Rattus norvegicus: one gene and its partners. The protein of the gene in region 2 interacts with the protein of the main gene of each other region in a pairwise test. Links are inferred from orthologs where the notes say so. Each region holds a gene or a part of one and is shown on either strand. Other genes may lie near its edges. The genes, in order: Hmbox1, C7h8orf33, Hap1 and Cep70.

Evidence for each region.
Region 1: the proteins of C7h8orf33 (region 2) and Hmbox1 interact in binary tests that used the Homo sapiens proteins (3 or more experiments, as listed by UniProt). The two-hybrid records come from large-scale screens. The link is inferred for Rattus norvegicus from reciprocal best matches to the Homo sapiens genes C8orf33 and HMBOX1.
Region 3: the proteins of C7h8orf33 (region 2) and Hap1 interact in a two-hybrid assay, tested with the Homo sapiens proteins (2 studies listed by BioGRID and IntAct). The link is inferred for Rattus norvegicus from reciprocal best matches to the Homo sapiens genes C8orf33 and HAP1.
Region 4: the proteins of C7h8orf33 (region 2) and Cep70 interact in binary tests that used the Homo sapiens proteins (3 or more experiments, as listed by UniProt). The link is inferred for Rattus norvegicus from reciprocal best matches to the Homo sapiens genes C8orf33 and CEP70.

The regions. Positions count from the first base shown.
Region 1 is NC_086033.1:43,254,004-43,257,566, reverse strand, and holds part of Hmbox1 (homeobox containing 1), read left to right. Parts: intron 1-331; coding exon of another isoform or gene 332-334; coding exon 335-426; intron 427-646; coding exon of another isoform or gene 647-742; exon of another isoform or gene 743-751; intron 752-2,298; coding exon 2,299-2,436; 3' UTR 2,437-3,563. UniProt on the Homo sapiens protein: Binds directly to 5'-TTAGGG-3' repeats in telomeric DNA. Associates with the telomerase complex at sites of active telomere processing and positively regulates telomere elongation.
Region 2 is NC_086025.1:110,561,473-110,565,510, reverse strand, and holds C7h8orf33 (hypothetical protein LOC681282), read right to left. Parts: upstream 2,777-4,038; 5' UTR 2,520-2,776; coding exon 2,514-2,519; intron 2,434-2,513; coding exon 2,143-2,433; intron 2,001-2,142; coding exon 1,916-2,000; intron 1,603-1,915; coding exon 1,456-1,602; intron 1,000-1,455; coding exon 860-999; 3' UTR 526-859; downstream 1-525.
Region 3 is NC_086028.1:85,783,693-85,787,737, forward strand, and holds the start of Hap1 (huntingtin-associated protein 1), read right to left. Parts: upstream 2,812-4,045; 5' UTR 2,790-2,811; coding exon 2,399-2,789; intron 1,460-2,398; coding exon 1,383-1,459; intron 1,057-1,382; coding exon 940-1,056; intron 828-939; coding exon 649-827; intron 504-648; coding exon 404-503; intron 299-403; coding exon 232-298; intron 1-231. UniProt on the Homo sapiens protein: Originally identified as neuronal protein that specifically associates with HTT/huntingtin and the binding is enhanced by an expanded polyglutamine repeat within HTT possibly affecting HAP1 interaction properties.
Region 4 is NC_086026.1:108,710,207-108,713,769, reverse strand, and holds part of Cep70 (centrosomal protein of 70 kDa), read right to left. Parts: exon of another isoform or gene 3,345-3,563; intron 2,477-3,344; coding exon 2,386-2,476; intron 2,234-2,385; coding exon 2,110-2,233; intron 1,155-2,109; coding exon 974-1,154; intron 1-973.

The DNA of each region.
Region 1 (3,563 bases), on a different chromosome or scaffold from region 2:
GGTTTTGATGCCCAGCATCAGGAGAAGTATGACTTCATTTCACTTGCCATTTACTTGCCATTCCACTTGTCAGATGCCTTGCCCTGCCCGCCAGGACAGCTGTTAACATAGTAAGTTCTGTGAAGTGCCCAACAGTCCGCTTGGTACTTAACCAGTGGGAAGTTTGCTGTGCATTGAAGCTGGACTCTACCCCAAGCTACACAGAGTTGAACTTCTCCCATTGAAAGATGACTAGCGACTAACCATGTTCTGATTTCCTCACCATAAAATCATGTGCAGCCACTATGTGGAGGCAGCAGATAATTTAGGGATCTATTTGCTTTTTTCGAAGAAGCAGCAATCCTGGAGAGTCATGGGATCGATGTACAGAGTCCAGGAGGCCATTCCAACAGCGACGATGTGGACGGGAACGACTACTCTGAGCAGGTGGGTGGCTGGGCTAGCCTTCTGGTTACCGTGGGGGGCAGTGGCAACTCAAGTCTGTGGGTGGTTGTATGGGGCCGGGGAGCAGCTGGTGTCCCTCCACTCTGCTCATGTGTCTAGTTAGATTTTCATGCGTTTGGAAAGGAATGTGGTAAGACTCTGTTGTCCTGTTAAATCTGTGAGTAATCTCTATCCACCCTATGGGTTTGTTGTCACACAACAGGACACTTGGCAAGCACGCAATGGGGAGGAGGAGGAGGGAAGAAGTTCAGAGGGAGGCAGAGAAGCAGAGAAGGTAGAAGAAGACAGGAGGATCTGACCCAAACAAGCAAGTTACAACACTCACACACACAGTGTTGAGAAACACTTAGGGGCATGCGGGCAGCTGTGACCGTGCCTGCCGTGGACCATGAAGGCACAAAAGGCCCCGCCCACTCCAGTCCCCATTACACTGGGAACCCTCGTGCCCAGAGGAGTGGCTAACCAGAGTCTCTCTGGACACTGACTCATCCTGTCATAATGCAATACCTGCATGGTTTCTCATCTCATCCTGCTGTGCTCTGCCTTGCTTCGGGAAAGTGTATTTAATTGTAGCCACTGCATGGAATAAGTCGATAACTGTGATTGGGGGAATTCCCCACACCCGCAAACATGTTGACAGATTTCATTAAAATGTTCTATAGGATCAAATTTCATTTCCACTTGGGAAATTCAAAGAACACACGGTCCTGTCCCTAGACTCTTTCTTCTGGTGTTTTCCTTGTCCTCAGCCGCCATGTTCTTCATTCTCAGTTGTCCTCAGCTTCCGCGTATCCACTATTGCAGCAACATGTGTGATTCTCTGCAGATTCCTTCTTAAATCCCAAAGGCTAGTGTCTAAAAGCCAGAACGAAACAGTAGTAGCCATGTGTCCCAGCAGATTATGCCCCCAAGAGACCCAGTTCTCCAAGCACAGCTCCACCCTCCGCCCGGGGGAGTGCTGTTTCTTTCTGGAAACATCCCTGTCGTTTGTCAGCAGACCCACATGGATGGATCATTGCCACCTTTTTTTGCAGATGCCCTGAGGGCAGCACATCACATGCTTCCCGCAAGGGACTTTTCTTTCCAAAGCTCTTTGGTACAGAGTCCCCTGAAGATGAGACAGGTGAGATCCGTCCCAGATCTGTGATGGCGCCTTTAGTGCCCAGCACACCTGCAGGGAGAACTTCCATCACTGCTTTATTCCTCGATTGTCTGGGTTTGCCTTGGTTTGGTTTTGGAACTTGCAGTCAGTCTCTTGCCTCGGCCTGGGCATGGTGGGGTCACAGGCGTGTGTCCCTACGCCCACCAGCAGCCTCACTGTTTACTGTGTGCGACTTAGAGGGTGGAAAGCTTCACTTAGCTCTCAGTCGGGGTCTGCACCTGCAACTTGTGTAACTGCAGACCGTCCCTGATCTGTAAGGTGCTTGTTCTACATTTCCTCCACTGTTCTCAGCAGGGACACACTGGGTCCCAGTAGCTTTGTGGATTTAGGAGTACACTAGGTCACTGTTGTATCTGTGGCAAACAGAAAAATCCAGACTATTAGTTTATTTTGATCACTTCAGCTTTGATCAGCACTAGCAATTTTTGGTAGAATAAATACTGTGCGAAAAAAGGAACAAAACAAATCATTTATATCCTTTTTATTTATTGAGTCACAAAAAATTGAAAGTCTCTGGACCTGTGTCCATTCAGTGTCTACTTAAATACAGTTCACCTCCACCATGAGATGCACTCAGCCATTTTCTCCACAGATGCTCTGTCCCCCGCACGGCACCCCTGCATGCCTTTTTGTGAGCTTGAGATTGCTGCCAGCCAACCAATAACATTCCTTTCTTATCTCTGCACGTCTAGGATGACAGCACGAGCCATAGCGACCACCAAGATCCCATCTCGTTAGCTGTGGAGATGGCGGCCGTCAACCACACTATCTTGGCATTGGCCCGGCAGGGAGCCAATGAAATCAAGACAGAGGCCCTGGATGATGACTGATCAGGGAGTTAAACAGTTAACTTAGTTTAGACGTAGCACCTTAGCAGACTTTCCTCGGTCCTTAACATGTGTTCTTACAGTATAACTTACAGTTCCTTGTATGTCAGGTAGCCATTAGGGTCTTGTTCTGTGAAGATGGCATGGTGCCCTCATTCAGCCTTTGCATATACTCTCTCAGTATTCAAACTCCAGTAAGTAAGAAGCAAACAGACAAACCTCCCTCTCCCAGCCCCTGAGGTGAAAAGACAAATCTCGCTGCTCTGTCTTAGCATTCCAAGAAAGTGCTTCCAAGTATTTAGATAACCCTCAGTTCTCAAATATTAGGCTCTGTGTAAAATCTTGGGTACCTTTAGATTCCTGTAAAACTAGGCTGTACCCCGTCCCCGCCCTAAGACTGATGGGATGCAGGCTGAGGCAGTGGCACAGGGCCGACAGACACCATCTGGCAAGGATCCGTGGAGCGGAGCACAAGGAACATAGAGCCCCACCTCGGCGTGAGACGCACTGATTCAGCTGCAATAAGCCGCCTCCTGTCACAGTGTGGCCAGGCTCTACTTCTCTGGGTGCTGTGTTACGAATGTCGTTGGAATCCCAAGCTCAGATCTTGGTTAATGCTAATGCCCAACACAGACATCCTTCTGTCTTACAAGCTGTGTGACCTAGTAGATAATATACTGCCTTCCGCCTTTGGGACCACGATTCTAAAACAAAAAAGACAAAAACCAAGTTCTGAAAAGCAAAACCCAGCTTGAGAGCAGTAGGGAAAGCATGAGCTGAGTGTCGGATGGACGCTAAGCCCAGGTCTCGGGCCGCTATACATTCCACAGCGCGATGCCAGCGCCTGCCTGGGAAGTATTGGAGTTACCTTGGAAGTTGCTTTGCCTCCTGTTGGTGCCCCCTCCCTGCTACCAGAAAGTATAGAGCTGAGGTCAAGAGTGAGTGGAAAGCAGGCTTTGTACCTGTCACCTGAGGCCCACCAAGGGTTGCTAGGACTCTGCTGGGGACCGTGGCAACTTGACTGTCACAGACGGGGATCCTTGCCTAGCTAGGTGCAGAAAAAGCAGGGGACATTGCCACCTACATGTCGAGCGCGTGGGACAGCAGGACGTCCCTGCTGTGTTCCCTTT
Region 2 (4,038 bases):
AGTTGAGTTGAACCAGCCAGCCAGAGCTAAGAAAAGAGCTAGAAAGGGTGATCTTATTCAGCAGTAAGTCTCAGAAACTGAAAACATTCCAGGCCTAGATAAGATGGTACCCAGGCTAGAAGCTTCCAGGACTAGGCCTAGGCTAGCAGAAGAAGGCAGTGAGCCTCTGAAGACAATTACATCAGGGGAATAAAAGACACTTTTATACATGTGTGCCCAGCACGCTAATACCCGCCCACTTACACACCATTCACACACACAAACAAAGGGTTTTGCTTTGTTTTGTTTTAAATGCGGTCTGCTAAGACTCAGTTCAGGTTAGGACAAGTAGCTCCTTGGCTCCTAAAAACAAAACACAGCTGGATGGTGGCCACACTGGCTCCTTGAAGATGATGACCTGCTCAGAAAAACAGCAACAGCAACAGCAACAACAGATGAGGCCCTGGCATCAGAGCTGGACCAAGCAGTCCCAGCCCCTGTCTCACTTTGCTTCCAATAACACAGACAGCTCTCTTCCACCCACCATCCTATTTCTTTAAAAAAAGATTTATTAAGGCAATATAACAATATGTAAAGCACTGAAAACTGGCCAGGGCGCCCTTTCGAAAGTGAGCCCAGTGTGTCGAGAGCTTCTCCACAGTTCCTTATCACCAGCAGCTACTCCACATCTCTCTTCTGTCAGGAAGAACATTTCTTTCAAAAGTTCTCACGTGGCAGCTTCACACCGGCCAGCAGCTTCATGTCCTGAGGGACAAACCAATCCCACTTCTGCTGAGAGGATTCCTGGAAAGGCCCTGCACTCAAGACAAATCCCCCTCACCACCCCGGAGGGGATGACTAGTCCAGCATGTAGGAGCCTCTAAAAGAAATTGAACCGGAACTCTTCGTTGGTCAAGTCGGACATGGTTCCGGCTCTTCCTGCAGGACGAGGCCTGCAGACCCTTCCACTCTTCTTTCTGGCGGCCTCGCCAACCAGCTGTACCTGGGCCGAGCGGGTGGCTGTAGGAAGGGGGAGTGGAGAGTCAGCTAACGTGATCTGTGCAGTTACAACTCTCCTAACTTCTCAGTACTAAAAGTAAATAATGCCTTCTCTGATGAGACTCACAGAGATGCAGTAACTTACCAAAAACGTTTAAATCTAAATAACGTATCCAGGATTTATGCCAAAGTTATTTATTGTTTCAGGAGCTAAAGTCCAACTGGGATCTAGCTTTATAGCCAGTGAAGTGAGCCCAGGCCAAGACAGATGAGTGGTTTTTCCCATCTCCAAAACAGACTGAGGTGAGGACCTCGGCCCTCCTCCTTCCGGGACCTCTGTCCCCAAATAGGTATATACTTTTCTCCATGCTTACAATTCCCCCCCCCCCCAAGCCCATCTCTTCCCCACTAACCCAGCTGAGCTGAGCCACTCCCTTGAAGTTAATGTACTGAACCAATCACTTTCTAGTTCCTCACCAGCCTTTAAAGCCCGTAGGGCCTCCCGCCACTCTGCATCCATCTGAGCCCTGTAGTCCCCAAACAAGGAGCGCATCAGCTGTCTCTTCCGGGGCAAGGGGGTTTTTTCACTCCGCAACGTTCGGATTGCCCCAACAGCCTGCTCTTCTGCAGATTAAAAAAAAAAAAAAATTAAAGCGCTAGTAACTTCAAACACACTCCATATCATCCTACTACAAAGGCAACAATTCCCATTCGACTGAGGTGACACATGCCTTTAATCCCAGGAGGCAAAGGCAAGCGGATCTGTACAATGAGACCGTCTCGCGGGGGGAAAACAAACAAACAAAAAAAAAAAACAAAAAAACAACCAAAACAACGTAAACAAACAAAAAGCAACAATCCCAGCCCTTGGCAACACCACCAGGCCACAGCACTGTCATGGTTTACATTTCCTTAACTATAAAGTAGGGTCCCTCACTCTGTTTCGGGGTGGGTCTCTGCGTCCTGAGACCCAGCTCCAGCTGTTCCACACACCAGGCCAGCTCCCGCGCCAGCTGCTCCGCCTGTGGTAGAAAGGAGGACATGGCAGGCAATAGGATCCCGCAGACTCCACTCCCATACCTTCAGCGCCTTAATTCCGCACACCTAGCCCACACAGGTAGGCGGGTTAGCATCCAGAAAGCTCACAGGGAGTCCCATCCTTGCCTGGGCCTCAGCACTAGGGGGAGCTTCATCTGGAGTAGGATTCTCGGAGGGCTTTTCCTTTCCATTTGTCCCAGAGACCCTGTTCGGGGTTTTCTTTTTCTTTTGCTTCATCGATACTGTGTTGCCTACGGGATGTGTCCTGTTGGCGGAGTCACATGTAGGTTGCACTGAATTACGAAGAGGAGGATCCGAGGCACCGGAAGCTGGGCGAGAGAGCTGAGGTCTGCGCGGAGCGCGATTAGTTCTCCGGCTTGAGGCTGCTGGTGCCTCCCGAGCAGGATGCCCTGGCTCCTGAAAAACGTGGGACAGGACGAAATTCACAGGGTCTCCCCACCTAGGGCCTCGCCACAAACACACCTCGCACAGCTTACCGCCATTAGCTGGAGAGGTCACCGGAAGCTAGTAAATCCTAAAAATCCCATAGCGAACTCACTCCCCTGGAAACAGGTCTACGACACAAGGTTCCGCAGAAAGTACAGCGGACCCAGAGCCAATGCTCACCGCGGGACGGAGCGCTCCAGGTTGTGCTTGTAATTTGGGTTGACAGAGTGCACAGGAACTTAACTTAAGGCCTCGGAAAACCCAGCAGAGTGCGCCGCCAAAAAACAAGACGATCCCTGGGGAGAATGGAACCCGCGGGGTGGAGGGGAACGCCCAGAGGTGGGGCAAGGTGGACATGCAGGGCGGTTCGGGGCGGGGCACACATAAAGCCAGATGGTTCAGCTGGTTTCCAGTATACATCACAATCCTGAAGAACTAGGCTCTAATAGCAATGAAGGAGTGAACTTGCCAGCGAGAGTAGGAGTAAGCATGCAAAGAGCAAGAACGTCCTTCTTCCACGACCTTTATATAGGCTGCCACCCGAAGACGTGGCCCAGATTTAAGGTGCATCTTCCCACCTCAAGAAAAACTCTCTTACAGGTGTACCCAGTCCCGTGGGTTTTAGGATAATTCCAGACGTTTGTTTTCAAGTTGACAACCAAGAATAGCAATAGCTATCATAGCGGTCTAACCGTGGGACTGCAGATACCAGACACGGAGCTTCAGGGTTTGGTATTTTGTATCTCTTCGCTATGCCTCTATTCCACAGTTTTGGAATGCCAGCGTACATACTGTGCCCTTGTACGTCGGAAGTATATAATTTTACTTTTGACTTTACCGGGGTCTATAGTTAAGAGATTACCTTGGGACTTTTTAAACAATGTTGAAACTGAAAAAGATGATGGGAACTTTTACAGTTAGATTAAATGCATTTTTACTTTACGATATGGCCATAAAACACTCTGGCCAAGGCAACTTAGAAAAATAGTTTGATTAGGGGACAAATTTGTCCAGGGGGACAAAATTTATGATGATGGAAGGAAAGCATGGCAGAGGAGGACTGGAACAGCAGCTGAGAGCTCACATCTCGATCCAAAAGCAGGAGGAAGCGAACACCATGGGCATGGTAAGAGGCTTTGAAAACCTTAAACCCAGCCCTCAGTAACACACCTCCTCCAACAAGAACACACCTCCTAATCCTTCCCAAACAGCCAACAACTGGGGACCAAGGATTCAAACTCCAGAGATTTATAGAAGACATCTCATTTAAAACACTACAGGAGTCAGGGAATGGAATGTGGGTGTTTGAGAATTCCACCAAAGGCAAATGAATACTCGGTCCCTGCTGGTGGTCCTGTTTGGGACGATTACGGGGTGGCACCATCTCACTAGTGGAAGTTCCTGAAGGTATGAAGTAGGAAGAGTTCATAGCCTCAAGGAGGTGGTGCACACCTTTAATCCCAGCACTGGGATCGCTGTGAGTTCCAGGTCAGCCAGGTCTAGAGAGTGAGTTCTAGGACACCAGACACCTCACTTCAGGTTTGGATTCTGCTTACATTTACAGCTGAAGATGTG
Region 3 (4,045 bases), on a different chromosome or scaffold from region 2:
CTCAACGGTGATGCTTCTCCTGACCCTCATAAACCCTGAGGGGATGAAGAGCAGGCCGGGGTTATCAGTCCTCATTGTAAAGATGAAGATTCAGAGAAGCCGAGGAATTTGGCCGTGCTAACACAGCGGCAAAGTGCCGGAGCCAGGACTGCATCTCCAGACCCCAAACCCTGAGTTCTTCCTATCAGCTCTTGGGACAGCGCCCTTTCCCCGGATTACAGTGTCACGTACAAAACTGTTCCACACACTCCAGAATGAGCATCTGTTCTTTGTCTTCCAGGTTGTCAAGGTGGGAGGCCTGGAGGAAGGGGAATAGGAAGGGGTAAGGCCGCCACCATCCCCCCCCACCCCCGCCGTCAGTCACCCTCCCCTGCCCAAGGGCACGCCCCCTCCCTGTCCTCACCTCCTCTCGAAGATGGTCGTTCTCTTCTTCCAGCAGTTTCAGCTTCTGCTTCAGGGCTTCCAGCTGTGGGCAGTGGTGCAGCGTCTCAGCCTTAGGGGGCCTGGCAAGGGGGCAATGAGAGTCAGACTGTAAGGGGTGGAGGATCCCAGTCCCCCAAGGCTTCCCCAGACGAGGCAATGCCAGCAGGCTAACTGCCCATGCCCGTTTACAAACGGACAACCGAGGCACAAAGGCAGAACACGCACGGCTTGGGGGCACCATAGGGATGGTCGTGCTGCTGATCTTGGTCCCTCTGTCCTTCTCGTTCCTCCTCTTCTCCCTCTTCCTCTTCCTCATCCTCTTCATCCTCCTCATCGTCATCGGAGTCCGAGTAGAGCTGAAGGAGATCATCTCGCAGGTTCACCTGCTTCCGGAGATGTAAAATCTAGGGCAGGAGAAAGGGGCCGCAGAAAGGTGAGCACGGAGGGGCAGAACAGGTGCTGGTTGGGGGAGGGAACAAGCCGAACCCTCCTCTTGGTCCTTAGGAGCCCAGATACCTCCTCTCTGGCTGAGCCCAGCATGGTTTCCAGCTTGTTATTCTCCTCCATCAGAACACTATTCTGTTTCACCAGGGACTGGCCGATGCGAGCGGCTGTGTTCAGGTCCCGTTCTTTCTGCAAAAGGAGAGCCAACCATTCCATACTTCTCCCAAACAGGAGGGCGAGAGCAGGGGCTAAGCCACAAGAAGAAAGTTGCCCCAGCACCCAGCCGTCCAAGTACTAAACCAAAGACTATTAACCAACTCTGGGGTCTGACTCAGTTTCTCATCCTGAGGAAAAAGATCAGCCCAGATTTGGTCCTCTGAAATCTATGTGCCTTTCAGGAAAGGGGCCCTCAAGTTGGCACCCAGGCAAGCAGAAAACAGACAAAAGCCCTAAGTCCTGTAGGGAAGAGCTAAAATGAGGGCTGGCCTGAGTGAAGAAGGCAAGGCGGTACCCACCTCTTCCAGCAAATACAACATCACTTTGATATCATCTTCGGTGATCTTCTTCCTGGGCAGTGGATTAGGACACAGCGCTGCAGGAGGAAAGGCCTGAGTGGATCAGGGAAAGGAGCCGAGGCTGCCCACAGCCCCCTACATCCCTCACAACAAAAGTGGTGAGACTGCGTTCTATCTGGCCCTAACACCCTCTTCACAGCTCCGGATCTCAGCACTCCTGCCTTCTCAGGAGGGGCCTGGGTGCTGTAAAGGCAAAACCATCCTCCAGGCTCAGGAACCAGACTTTCAAGACCCCTGGGTCTCTGGTCCCTCGAGATAAGAAGTCAGGGGAAATACTGGATTCATCATGCCTGACTCAGTCGGCAGCTTAGCCAGCTCACTGGAGACTCCTCGATCGTAACAGATGCACGTAACCCATCCTAAACCTGTTGCATGTGACAGGAGGGCCAAGTAGACTTACTTCTTCAGCACCAGAAGCGGGCACCTCAGCCTAAAATTGCCCCGCCCAGAAGAGGAGGGACAGAAGGCCAGTGCCCCGCCCACTCCTCCCGCTTCAATCCTGCTTCAGGAAAGCGCGACCCAGACCCCTCCGGCCAAGCAGTGTCAAAGGCTCCCGCCCCGCCCCCCGCTCTACCCACCCACGCTGGCTGGTCCTGCGGGCTAGCGCAGGCTCAAAGCGCACCCGGCAGCGCACCCGCAACCCCCGCCCCTCTGCTGGCACTGCGGTAGACGGGGAGGGGGCATTGAGAGTGCGCAGATCTGCCACAGCAACAGGCGCGAAGAGGGGGGCGGGGAGAGCAAGACAGCCCTAGATCTGACGCACCTACAATAATCGGGGAACCTGAGACAGAGGAAAAGATGGGGAAAGGGAAACCAAACAGGCACGGCGGACAGTGGTCTCGCAGGGGTGGTGGAAAGGTGGGACTGAGAGCCACAAGGGGGCGGGGCGCCTGAGTCGGTGGTTATTAGAGATGCCCTAATAACGCCCAGTGTGGGATCCCCGAGACTCAGTTTACCTTCCTGCAGCTCTCGAATAAACGCCGCGCGCTCAGGGCCGGACACGCCGGGCCTTCGGCCGATGTACGCGGCTGGCGTCTTCCAGATTCCCTCAGCCCTTCCAGTGCCCAGGCCAGTAGCCCGGGGACCGTAAGGCCCCTGGAATATGTAGCGGGTCCATGGTGCGTCCGAGTCGCCACGGATCCTGGACCTACAAAAGCTTCCTCCTGTCTTGGTTCGGGATCCTGATTTCTGTCCGGACCCGGTTCCCTGCGCCGGAGCAGGTTTGGGCTCTGCCGAGGGCTCCGGAGCGGGATCCGCTGCAGGCTGGGTCGTGGGGGTGCCTGTTGCTGGGTCCCCCGACCCCGTCCCGTCCCCGGCACTGCTCTGCACCTGCTCCTTCGGGCGCATCTTGACTCTGCAGTCCGCTGTCGCAGCCGAGCCTTTATAACCTGTGCTCGGAGCGGGCGCCACTGGGCTGTACCACGTGTGGCGCTAGGGGTGACCGTTGATCAATTAGTGGTGCTGAGGACTCGGGATCCTACGAGAAAGCAGCCAGTGGTGACGGAATAGGACGTAAATGAATGAAGAAGAAAGAAAGAGATGAGAGAGTGCCCAGTTTTTTCCATGGGATCGAGTTCACGATGATGGGTTTCTCTTCCCTTCCATCTTCTGAGAATGGTTCTGTCCAAAGCCGCGGCTTCCCTGGACTTGAGTAGAGGGACCCGTAGCTTCTGCCTAGAAACAACCCCCCCCTCCCAGCCCTCCCGCGCGCGCTCCCGTCACCCCAGCTTCCAGGGGCTTTCTCTGTTGTTCTACACAACATTGAATACATTCCGAGGTGACCTGAGAATCGAGGCAGTACGCCTGTGTCTTCCCAGGTGGATTAAGCGAGAAATCCAAACTCCGGTATGGCTTTCAACGTGTTGCGTGTCATCCACAGGTCCTCGAGCTCACACTCCCGCACTCGCCCCTAGACGCCTTCCATCTTACTGCGTTCACCACTCGTTCTTTTATCTCCAACCCTAATTCGCAAGGCCTATATATAGTCCAAGCATCTTCGGAGGGGATCCTACTTAAATGTTTCTCTGTGACGACTCTTCCAGACCTCCGTGTACACACACACACACACACACACACACACACACACACACACACCAAAACACCCGTTATCCCGGGGTCTGAAAGGATCAATGTCGGTCTTCACGACTTTACCTATGCTCTTCAGTTCATGGACGGTGGGCTCCCCAGAGAAATAGATGCTTTGGAAGCTTGCTCTCGGTCCTGAATGAACTGGGAGAGGGGGGTGGGAGCTAGGGAGGGCAGTAGCCATGTCTATGCTTTTAGACTGCGAGACAGGCTAAAAGGAAATGGTGACTCATGGACTCAGATCTCAAAATCGTTCTTGATGTTCTCCCTTCTCCTCCACCATCCTCCAATTGCCAATCCTATTGATTTCACCTTTTTGAAAATATTTCATTTTAATATATTTTGTATGTGGTGTACGAATGTGTCCGTGTCTGTGGGCAGAAGTCGGCGGTCAACATCAGATGTTGTCTGGCCCTTGCCATCTCGTTTTTTTGAGACAAGGTCTCTCACGGAATCTGGAGTTCAGCACTTTGACTAGACCGTCTGGCCAGGGAGCCCCCAGACACCCACTTAACTCA
Region 4 (3,563 bases), on a different chromosome or scaffold from region 2:
CAGCCTGATTTCTTACCCAGGACCCCCATCCCAGAGGTGGCCTCACCCACCAGGGGCTGGGGCTTCCCACATCAATCACCAATTAAGAAAATGACCCCATATACAGGTACACTATAAGATCTACACAAGACACCATAAACTCTAAACAGAGCATTATGGTCTGTATGAAGGCACTATGAGCTGTGTACAGGGCGACATATGCTCAAAACAGGGCAAGAATTATACTCTGGATATTATGACATTATTATATATACATTGTACTAGGATTTCTTTGCAGATAACTGACTTCTATAATATTCAGTATGGGATATACATAGAGTATTATATGGCATTTACAGTGAAATCCGAGCTCATTATAGAACAATCTTAGATATATTCAGGCACTGATATCTATATATAGGACATGAAAGCTCTAAACATGGTACTATGGCTGCTATAAAGTAGACTTAGATTTACAAGTGCAGGAAAATCCCTGTGCAGGTACAATGAGCTGCACAACAGTGCAGTATTAGATGCTGAAAGGCTCATTGGTGTCAGAGCTTCCTGCTCTTCTAGAGGACCCGAATTCAGTTTCCAGTATCCATAACCATCAGCTCACAAGCTCCTGTAATTCCAGTTCCAGGAGACCTAACACCGTTTTCTGGCCTCCAAAGGCACCCATACATTCATGGCATACATCCACACAGACATATACATGTACCTGTTAGGAACACTCATGAAACTACAGCAAGCAGCCACATAGATGAATGTCAAAATGGGGTGCTAAATAGAAAAGATCACCTATTAGCATTACTGGCCTCTGCCAATGTTAACTGTTTTCTTCTAACAATTCAACTACATACCTCAAAACATTTGGATTTCCTTGACTTCTTTGCCGGACATACACCATGGAAGGCACAAGAAATTACCTGGAACTATGATGAACTATTTTAACACTAATCAAATAACAAAATATATTAATTCAATAGAATACCTGTAACGTTTTATATTCCTTTTGAAGGTCTTTTATTCTATTTTGTTCCTGGCAAACCCTGTTTAGCGATTCATCTTCTAATTCACCAATTTTGGATTTCACACTGTCCATGATCTGCTGAAGGTCATTGGCTCGCTGTTCCTGGTGTGCCGCTCGGTTCTGTTCTAGCTGAAGTTCACTTCTAATTAACAGACACAATTCCATCCCATCAGTGTTAAAGGAAACCAGATCATACATGTCATATAATAGGTTACTTTCCAAAATGTCTTCACATTTTTATTTATTTATTTATTCTTTTAGGTTGCTGTCTTCAGACACATCAGAAGAGGGCATCTGATCCCATTACAGATGGTTGTGAGCCACCATATGGTTGCTGGGAATTGAACTCAGGACCTCTGGAAGAGTAGTCGGTGCTCTTAACCACTGAGCCATCTCTCCAGCCCCTCACATTTTTTTTTTTTTCCGGAGCTGGGGACCGAACCCAGGGCCTTGCGCTTCCTAGGCAAGCGCTCTACCACTGAGCTAAATCCCTAACCCCGCCCCTCACATTTTTAATATTTCTTATTTTATTTTGGTGCCGAGACTCAAAAGTTAGCATAATTAGCATTGAACTGTAGCCTAGCCTCAACACTTCTATCTTCTAATAGGTCTGCGGCCATGCCCCCTGACGTATCCAGTCTTGTCTCTCTTACAGGAGGGAGTAACAGAAGAAACAGAGGTACCATTACACGTCAGTGCTAAGTGCTACCTAAAGTAATTTACTCAGTGTTTGCCCATTTATCTGTAAAAAATGTTATGTTTTACATTCATTACAAATGAAATTTTGGGGGGCTGGAGAGATGGTTCAGTGGTTAAGAGCACTGGCTACTCTTCCGAAGGACCCAGGTTCAGTTCCCAGCACGCATACAGTGCTTCATAATCATTCATAATCAGCTCCAGAGGATTTCACACCCTCTTCTGAACACTTAGGGCTCAGGCACCCCCATGGGACATTTACAAACATGCTAACAGAAACACTCATACACATAAGACGTAAAAAAAAAAAATCTAAGTATAAAGAAATTTCAGGATCCTCTTCAGAGAGCTGTGTTTAGAATACATGCAAACAACCCCAGGGGCACTCCCCTTTTCCTTACTTAAGCTGATGGTTTGTCTCTATGAGCTCCTGTAGCATGCTCTGCTGACGTGTGGTTTCTTCCATCAGTGTTTTGAAAGCCTGCCTCATTCTTTGTGATGATTGTTTGTCAAAAACGATGAAATCTGCATTGTAAAAAAATTATACACACATATATATTATATATATACACACACATATGAGATAGTAAAACCAAAGGGAAAGTAAAACCATTTTAAGATAAAAAACTTCTTTAAAAAAACTGTTTTGTACCTAACAAATCAGCAGGAGTAGTTACCTCTGAGATTGGCTCCTTTGACTAGGCACAAAGGTTTAAAGCCACGCGTCACCAACAGCCTACTGATGCTTTCCCATTCTGCTTCCTCCTGCTACAAGCACAGCAGAGAAAAAAAATCACTTGAAGATGTGGAGAAAAACCTCCTATGATTGCCTCTGTTTTCAGAAAAGAACCGTTTCTCCAAAAGACGTCTCATTTTTAAATGGACGTGTTTGTGTGTCTGCATGTAGACATGACACATTAAGTTCAGTTGCCTGCAAACACCTGACAAGTGTCAGCCCCTTGAGTTTGAAGTGGTTGTAAGTCACACAACATGGCTGCTGTGATGGTTGCTGGAAGACCAGCAAGCCATCTCTCCAGAACTCAAAAGGTTTTATGAATTTTTTTTCCTCTACTATGTACCCCTGGATGGACTTAAACTGGCAATGTTAGACCAGGTCAGCCTTGAACTTAGAGATGTGACTGACTCGGCTTCCCAAGTACTAGAATAAAAGATGTGCGTGTCATGCCTGGATTTAATAGGAAATTTTATGTATTAAAGGTAAGTGGCTGGCGAATGGCTCAGCAGTTAAGAGCACTGACTGTTCTTCCAAAGGTCCTGAGTTCAATTCCCAGCAATCACCTGGTGGCTCACAACCATCTGTAATGAGATCTGATGCCCTCTTCTGGTGACAACAGTGTACTCACATACATTGGAATAAATAAATCTTTAAAAAAAAAATAAATTAAAGGTAAAACGGATGTTTTTACTAAAATCAGCAACAGAATAGAAATATGCAAATGATTAAATTATTGCATTATACAAAATATTCACATGCAGGCCTTAGTAGGAAATTAGAACAAAAACAACTTGTAATTTCAGTGAAACAGATAAGTCTAATTAAAAAAGATCAGGCCATTCTCAGAGAACACAACTAAAAACTAAAACTAGGCACTCGGAAACAAGTATCCCTTTAACAATGATGAAAAAAGAAATCAAGGTCCATGTGAAGGCTGACTCAGGAAACAGCTGCTTCCAAAGGGGCAGGCTCTGGCCAGGTAGCAGTGGCAGTGAGGTTAAACAAGCAGAAGAGAGATTAAGTTCTACATCCAAAAATCAGATTGAAAGATTGATCTGTCCAGGTTCCTCTTTAATGTGAACCCATTTGAGATTGTTCAGCTACTCCTGAAGTAACAGA